Rattus norvegicus: one gene and its partner. The protein of the gene in region 1 interacts with the protein of each later gene in a biochemical or structural test. Links are inferred from orthologs where the notes say so. Each region holds a gene or a part of one and is shown in the gene's direction. Other genes may lie near its edges.

Region 1 (3,812 bases):
AGATATGAGAACCTTCGGGACGAGGTGACGATCCTAAAGGGAAGGGAGGCAGCTCTGCTGCCTGGTGGCAATGGCTTCCCTTTCTGCCCTTTTAGAGCTGGCTGCATAGCCCTTGCCCTCTGGCAATGCCATGCTCAGGAAACATGCATGTGTGCAAGGACCACTTGTTCTTTCGTTCCTCTGTGAACTCTGTGGTTAGGTGGTCACCTTCTGAGGATGCCCTTTCCAAAAGCTGAGGTCTTATTGAGATCTTAGGAGGTTAAAACTTATCTTCCTGCATGTGTCTATTGCCATCTGCTTCTTGTTCTAGACAATTCCACTGTTGAGACAATGGTGTTGTAGGCTCTGACCTCAGCTGCATTGGTCCGTGTGGAGAGAGACCCTTGGAACCCGATTGGGTCTCCTAATCTCTGACAAAATACAAGATATTTTTGTGACATCTCAGGATTTGACATTCCTCTTTACCCGTACGAGTAACTCCCTCCCAACATGCATATTCGACATCCGAGAGTTAGTTGCATAGAAACCAGGAAAGGAATCTGAGTGGGAACTGAAATAGAAATCTATAAATTCCACCAAGCTCGGTTTTCACTCTTAAAAGACAAACCAGCTGCCAAAAACATAAGCCAAAAGGTCTTTTTAAATGAATAGCACGGGAGGTAGGCTCTATTCCTAATTACTCTCGTTTTCATGAGCAGAACCGGGGTGGAAGGAGAGGCCGTGTGGGAAAGGGTTGCAGAAAGGGTTCCTTTCAAGAACGTGGAGAAGGGTGCACTGTGCAATCCGAGGGCACGGCTCGAGTAAAAGGCTGTTCTCTCCTCGCTTTCTGGGTGCTGTGGGTTATAAAACACCGGTAGAGTATTTGCCTGGCATTCATGGGAATAACTATTTATCCACTGTTCCAAGGAGCGCTACTGCCCACAGTTGTTGACGAGAGGCAGTGGCTGATGTCCGGGGCTCCTTGAGAAGTTACTTCACATTAATATGAACTGGTTACGAGTTGTCACGTTTTTTTTTTTTCCTCCTTCAGCAGCAAACTCCAGGCCACAGGAAGAACCCATCAAATCAAAGTAGCTTAGAATCTGACTCCAATTACCCCTCCATTTCCACCTCAGAAATCGGAGACACCGAGGATGCCCTACAGCAGGTGGAGGTAAGTCTGGGACAACTGTTTGCAGTTGTCCTGTTGAGGACACTTAATTGCCTGCATGGAACCACCCAAGAGAGATATGAGATATACTGCTCTGTTGGTGGTGCCTCAGAGGGCCCAGGGCACGGACGTTGAGAACAGGATCACTGGGTTGCAGCGAATTTACTGATATATGGCGTCACATCCGTGTGCATGCCGTTTCCATGTAGATATGGGCACGGTCATCCTCACGGCTCTGCGGCTCACAGGCAGTGAGACTGACCCTGAGTTGTGCTCATTACATGAGGTGGGACATCACCATGCTTCCGACATGCAAAAACAGACTGATGTGCACTCAGACGCATTGCCTACCGACAGGCAAGCACATGCTTGTCTACATACTTAGCCACATAGTAAAATCCAGACCCGGATCTGAAAGGATAGGAATGCACTGGGAGATCAATGTATCAAGATCTGTTGGAGCAGCGCGCTCCACGGCAGGGCAAGTATTGCTTGTTTCAAGTTACGATCGGGTACTCGTTGGCATCACGACAGTGACCGGAGGTCACAGTGATCCCCCATCAGGAAGCACTGTGTCCCAAGATTTAGTTTCCCTCTTGTAATGCCATTTTCCAGAAGTGAATTCCCTTTTACCTTCCAAAGAAAATGCCTGTGCCTGTTTTCAGTTGTTCCTTAGAGTATGCGATTGGTCACTTAAGTGGCTCTCACAGGAGGAATGTGAACGGCTGAGACACAGATGTTATTGAAGAGAATAAGCCAGCAGCACCAGCTTTCTGATGGGAAATACTAGTGGTTTGACACTGGCTTTGTGTTGGAGGCAAGGATTGGTACTGGGGAGGAGCAAGGAGACAGATGACTGATACAGGGGTGGGCAGCCAGGCATTGTTCCCAGGAGCATTTGTGCTGTGAAAACTACCTTCTGGATACCCCTCTCCGTTTGCAGGAGATTGGTATAGAGAAGGCAGCCATGGACATGACTGTCTTCTTGAAGCTGCAGAAGAGAGTGCGGGAACTTGAGCAGGAGAGGAAGAAGCTGCAGGTGCAGCTAGAAAAGGAACAACAGGACAGCAAGAAAGTGCAGGTGCGTAGCCGCTCTGTTGTGAGCCCATGGGGTCTCAGTGGTGTTGGGCTTCAGAGCTTCCTCTTGTGGGAACCAAATTGATCACTCTCTGTGAATGTCTCACCCCACTGCCTCTGAGCTGGGTGTGCTCCCTGAGTATCCCAGGGCAAAGGATTTCCACTGGGAAGCAGTAGGGAGTCTGGGAGCTCATGCCTGGAGGACTGGCATCAGGTGCAGAGAAAATAAAACAGCAGAAGTCAGAATCAGCAGAGAAAGTCTACCACCCTCTCGTGCCTGGAATCTAACACAAGCTCAGCCACCTGGCTGAGAGCCAGAGGAGACCCTTCTCACCTACGGCTGTGCCTTTGTGTCACCACAACTGATGACATCCCTATCCTCTTGCATCTTGAAAGGATACTGTGTGAAACTTTACATCTAAAAGTAATTTATTTGTCTCAAGGACTTTTGGGGAACCTAAGCTATAAACACAGAACTATGCCAGTATCAGGCTCGAAGCAAATACACAACGTGGGCGTGCAAAAGAGAAAACAGAGCCAGCAAGATGCCTCTCAGGATCATGAAGACCCTCGCTGTCAAGCCTGCTGGCCTGAGTTAGATCCAAGGGACACACATGATGGGAGGAGAGAACTGATGCCTGCAAGAAGCTGTCCTCTGGTTTTCACAGATACCATGGCATAGGCAAGCCATGACAGACACACATATGCCTGTGTGTGCGCACACACACACACACATACACACACACACAGACACACACACACAGTCGCTATGCATAGTTTCTTTTTTTAAGACCGGTAAAAATGCAGGAGACAAACTTAGCCATTGGGGAATTTAAATCAGGTTTGGGAGTAGGAAATGTAGCTCAGGTGTAAAATAAAAAAAGAAGGTTGTAGTGTGACTGGGAATGCCGTTGATTACAAACCTATCAGTACTGCCACAGCAGAGAGCTGTCAGAGATAAGAACCCCTTTTTCTCACCGTGAAGTTGTGAGGAGAACTTCTCGTGGGATTTAAGTCCAGCTCTGCGCCATACCACTAGCAAAATCTATTCTCATGCCTAAACTGAAAATTGTGGGATTTGACTCTCCTCGTCTTCCTCCCCCTCCCTCTCCCCCTCCCTCCCTCTCCTCCTCCCCCTCCCCCTCCATCCTTGACCCCCATCCTGGACCCAGACTCTTTTTTCATAACACCTTTCTTTCCTTTCCATTCTGACGTGGTATAATATGTATACAAGTACACTATTACTTCACACACACCAGAAAAGGGCAACAGGGGCACCTCTGAAAGAGCGAGTCAGTGCTCTTAACTGCTGAGCCCTCATTTTGTTTGGTTTTTAAGATTCATTTTTATTGGGCTGGAGAGGTGGCTCAGTAGTTAAGAGCACTGACTCTTCTTCCAGAGGTCCTGAGTTCAAATCCCAGCAACCACATGGTGGCTCACAACCATCTGTAATGGGATCTGATGCCCTCTTCTAGTGTGTCTGAAGACAGTGACAGTGTACTTATATACATAAAATAAATAAATCTTTAAAAAAAGATTCATTTTTACTTTCTCTGTATGGCCATTCTGACTGAATACACTCTGG
Region 2 (4,544 bases), on another chromosome or scaffold:
GGACATTGCTTCAAGAGCTGTCATCTGTCTACAAAGTTCTCCCTGAAGAAAAGCACAATGCAGTTAAATACTCTCATAATAATTACATTTGGCCCCACTCATAGCTATTGTTGGCCACAGGTTGGATATACTGGCAGGTAGTTCAAAGAACTTAAGAATTTTTCTAGGAAGACATGGATGGAAATAAAGTAGAGCGGGAAAAGGGAGACATAGAGCTCGTGTCCTCTCTAGCCATGAAGTTGTGGTTTGGTTTCCTGAGCACTTGACAGCACTCAGGGAACGCTTTTGACTTGGACGCCATACACACAAATTAGGAAGGGAAAGATGACTAAATAGTTCCATAGAATTATGGCGGCAGGCACGGGGTCAGAACCAGGTCTCTGACGCCATCCCAAAGCGTCTAGGATCTTTATTAAGCAAGGGTAGATTTGAAATCTGAGTCCTTCGCTTTTGGTCTGTGCTCAGGAGGAGGTCCCTTTAGTCAGTTGAAGGTTTCCTCTTCAAGACATGGAGAATGGAGGAAGAATTGCCTCTCAAGAAGAGCTAAGTGCTCTACCACCATTTAAGGACACCAGCGCCTAGTCAGGACTGAACACACAGCTGGGGCAGATTCCTGTCTTCCAAGATGGAAACCGATTCTCCCCCAAGTGCGGGCGTTGTGTTCAGGGCCCAGGGCCACCTCCCAGAACCCCCTGTCGGCCTCCGCGGGTTCTCACGTCCTCAGAGCGCAGTAACCGACAGGCTGGAACCTCAGCACCCACCGTCCAGCGCGCGCACCCCAGCCTCCGCGTGCCGCACCGCGCGCCCCGTCGTCACGGCAACCAGGGAGGCGCTGACCCCCAACCCCGCCCGGCCCCGCCCCTCGCGCAGTCCCGCTCAACATGGAGACGGCCAACCCGGAAGTGGCGCGGCCGCCGCGCGCCCGGCGCTAGGAGCCGCGGGTCGCTGTCCAGGCCTCGCCTGGTGCCGCCGCCGGTCTCAGTTTGCCGCCCGCGCCCCGCGTCCCTCCGGCGTCGGTCCAGGACGGCCGCTTCCGACCCGCTTTCCCAGGCCTGCGCCACTCTCGGGGGAGGAGCCGAGGCGAGGCGAGGCCGCGCGGGCGGTGGGAGCCAGGCCCGGCGGCTGCCGACGGTTCGTATCAGCCGGGTCGGAGGAGGAGCCGGGCCGCGCGGGGCTGAGGCCGGGCCGTAGGGGCACAGGCCCCGGCACGGCGGCGACGCGAGGCGCGGGGCTGCGCGCGGAGGCCCGGACGGCGCGGAGGTGATGTGGGCCCCTGTGCTTCTACGGAAGAAAGGGACCCCCGCAGCGGCGGCGGCCACCGGGCCGGTCCTCTTGACATCAGCCCTTAGGGACCTCGGGGCAGCCCTGACTCCCCAGCTCGCTGAAGTGCCCTTAAGGATGCAGTGATCAGTGTACGGGGCTCTCCCCGCGGGAGGGGCGCTGCCTGTGCTTCTGAACTCTGCTCAGAGAAAAACAAAAACAAAAAGAAAAAACAAAACCGAAAAACAAAACAAAACAAAAAAAGCCCCAGAATGATGCTGTCTGAGCAAGCCCAAAAGTGGTTTCCAACCCACGTGCAGGTCACAGTGCTCCAAGCTAAAGATCTGAAGCCAAAAGGCAAAAGTGGCACCAATGACACATACACCATAATTCAGTTGGGCAAAGAGAAGTATTCTACATCTGTAGCGGAGAAAACCCTGGAGCCGGTCTGGAAGGAGGAGGCCTCTTTTGAGCTGCCTGGGTTGCTCATGCAGGGTAATCCGGAGAAATACATTCTTTTTCTTATAGTGATGCACAGGTCCCTGGTGGGACTGGATAAGTTTTTAGGGCAGGTGGCAATCAATCTCAATGACATCTTTGAGGACAAACAAAGAAGGAAAACAGAGTAAGTTACATAATTTATTTTGAATTTTGGGTACTTAAAGATACATGGATTTACTGTACTTGAACAGTATATTCGAGGCATTGGTCTTTGGGGTTGAAATAGGATCCAGTTTTAAGCACTTCTCTTTGCATGACTTTGAAGTGAAAATAGCCTTTGCTCTGAATTTTTTTTTAATGGAGTGATTAGTGAACCAGTCCCCCCCCCCCCCCCCCCCGCCCCATTTCTGTGTGAGGTAAAGGGCTCTTAAACAGTGGAATATTTTGCATTGGATTTTAATACTTTTTATTAGAGGCCTAGAGCATGAACTGGAAAACCAGAAAATTAAATATATGTGTACCATTAGGTTTATGTTTGTTGAGCACTGTTAAAAGGTAAATTACTAATAAAGGCTGTCAAAAGATAAGTTTCTAATTTTAGAACCGTATTTCAGCATTGGAAACAGTTGGCCTTTATTTTTGCTCCACCAGTTTTCAGGGTCAGTACTTCTTGATAGGGAGAAAGTTGTTAAAAGAAAAGTTTTGGAAGTCTGCACAGACATCTTCAGTCTTGAACCCACTGACATTTTTCCTTTGAATTTGCAGCATAGTGGAGCTATTGTTTACTGAAGAATCAGTTCAGCAAAGCTGTTGTGTTTAGACGGAATTAACTGGTGTAAGATTGGAGACAGTGATTACAGTCTTGTGATGCAGTGATTTAATGACTTCTTTGATGAAAACATGGCTTTTGAAATAGAACTTTCAAGCCCAAGTTAGATATACTTAATTTAAGAAATCAGGATGCAAACCAACACTAGGATATTATGTCCTAAGTTGAAACAAGTAGCAAGTTTGGAAAGGCAGACCTCCTGTCCTGCCCTTTAGCTTACATGCCTGTCCAGGCTTCACCTTACATACATAGCTTATAGTGGGCCTGAAGGCTCCTGGAGATGGCTGGAGTTTATGAAAAGAGGGTTGGGGGAACTCATCAGAGGGTGTCCCTCTTCCCAAGTAGCTTAAAAAAAAAAAAAAAAAAAAAAAAGCAAAACGCAGTCCTGATGGATGTTTATCTACCTACCCTTTAGAGCACTTTCCATGATAATTTTAAGTTCACATTAATTTCTTTTAAGTATAATGATCTTTTCTCTTTTTTCCCTTTTAAAGCCTGCCAGAAAACTTCATTTAATAGGAATTATTTTTGTTTTGTTTTGAATAAAGTCTTTACCTAAGATTTAGTTTATGTAAGATAAAACACTAGAAATGCAACAAGAAAAAAATAGGTAAATATTCAGTTGAGGGGGGAGAAAGTTTAAGTTGTATATTTAATGATTTTTAAATTTCCTAATATTTAACAAATAGCATGTTCTTTCTTCCGAGGAGTTCTTCATCAGCGTTAAAATGAAAAATCAATAGTAACCAAATAATTTGCCCCAAATTGTCACTTTGAAGTGACTCAGTGTATACCTTTAAAGTGTTTTGACTGTGAGCTTTCAAGCATGTACAGTTTCAAATTTCTTACTGTGCTTTAAAAAGTACTTTTAATATTAATGGTAATATACCACAGACCCCTCGAACGTAAATTCCCAAATTTAAGTAGGCCCAAGTGTAGATCCAAAGATCCTGAGAAAGAAGTAGCCTTTTAAAAATTTCTTGTTTTATTTCCGTCTTTGGCAGCTTTGCAGTTACAATAAACTAGACCATGAACAATACTCTTTAACAGTGTAGTCTGTCTATAAAATCAAGGACAGCTTTTGGAGGGGAGATGCTTTGAAATGCTATCAACAGGGTTTGCGATGTTACTGCATACAAAGAGATTTTCATATGTTATTAAACCCTTACTGTTTTGTGCGGGCGACTAAATGGGAACTGCGTATTTGATGAGGTATCTTTATTGGTAATATTTCTAGATTTTTAATATATTTAATAGCTTCCTTTTCCAGCCCAGCTGCACATGTGGCATAGTAAGAGACAGACTTGAGCCACTAGTGTATTAAAAGAAAGGTATTTAATATTCTGCACATTGCTAGCCCTTGTCAGCATATTCCCAAGTGCCTTTTGGAAAAGTAGAATGAGTGATGAAGGCTACCAGCTGATTGAGATGTCCCACGAAACTGCTGGGTGTGACACTTTGTACTTTCCGACAGTGAAAACGACAAGTGTTTACATCTTGTCTTCCAGTTGTGTCATGAGAGGCGAAAAGTATTGTGCTTAAAACTATTATTTTAACCTATTTTTCTACTCTGAATATATATATATATATATATGTGTGTGTGTGTGTGTGTGTGTGTGTGTGTGTGTGTGTGTGTGTGTATTATTTTATTATTTCTTTTTAAAGGAGAGGGGGTGGGGAGGCCCCAAGCCAAATCCTTTGAGGAGAAAGAGAACTTTTGCATTTGCCTTCTTTAATAGATGTCTGGGTTGGTTCTGGCATGAGATTTAAGGAAATAACACAGTGTTTAATAATAGAATGGGAAAATCATTGATGCTGTTATGTAATATCCATTGATTTTTTTTTTAACAATCCAAGTAGGTGATGCTCTCTTTGTTTCAATGATCTCAAAAAATTAATAATAGAGAATCTAGAGTTAGATGAGACTTGCACATATATATGTAGGGGTGTGTGTGTGTGTGTGTGTGTGTGTGTGTGTGTGTGTACACACGCGCTTTGCACCTGCCTCCTAGCC

The links.
Region 2: the proteins of Myo5b (region 1) and Rab11fip2 form a complex in vitro, tested with the Homo sapiens proteins (2 studies listed by BioGRID). The link is inferred for Rattus norvegicus from reciprocal best matches to the Homo sapiens genes MYO5B and RAB11FIP2.

What each region holds. Positions count from the first base shown.
Region 1 is NC_086036.1:70,572,320-70,576,131, forward strand, and holds part of Myo5b (unconventional myosin-Vb), read left to right. Parts: coding exon 1-24; intron 25-1,030; coding exon 1,031-1,153; intron 1,154-2,093; coding exon 2,094-2,231; intron 2,232-3,812. UniProt on the Homo sapiens protein: May be involved in vesicular trafficking via its association with the CART complex. The CART complex is necessary for efficient transferrin receptor recycling but not for EGFR degradation.
Region 2 is NC_086019.1:269,076,646-269,081,189, reverse strand, and holds the start of Rab11fip2 (rab11 family-interacting protein 2), read left to right. Parts: upstream 1-1,528; 5' UTR 1,529-1,532; coding exon 1,533-1,885; intron 1,886-4,544. UniProt on the Homo sapiens protein: A Rab11 effector binding preferentially phosphatidylinositol 3,4,5-trisphosphate (PtdInsP3) and phosphatidic acid (PA) and acting in the regulation of the transport of vesicles from the endosomal recycling compartment (ERC) to the plasma membrane.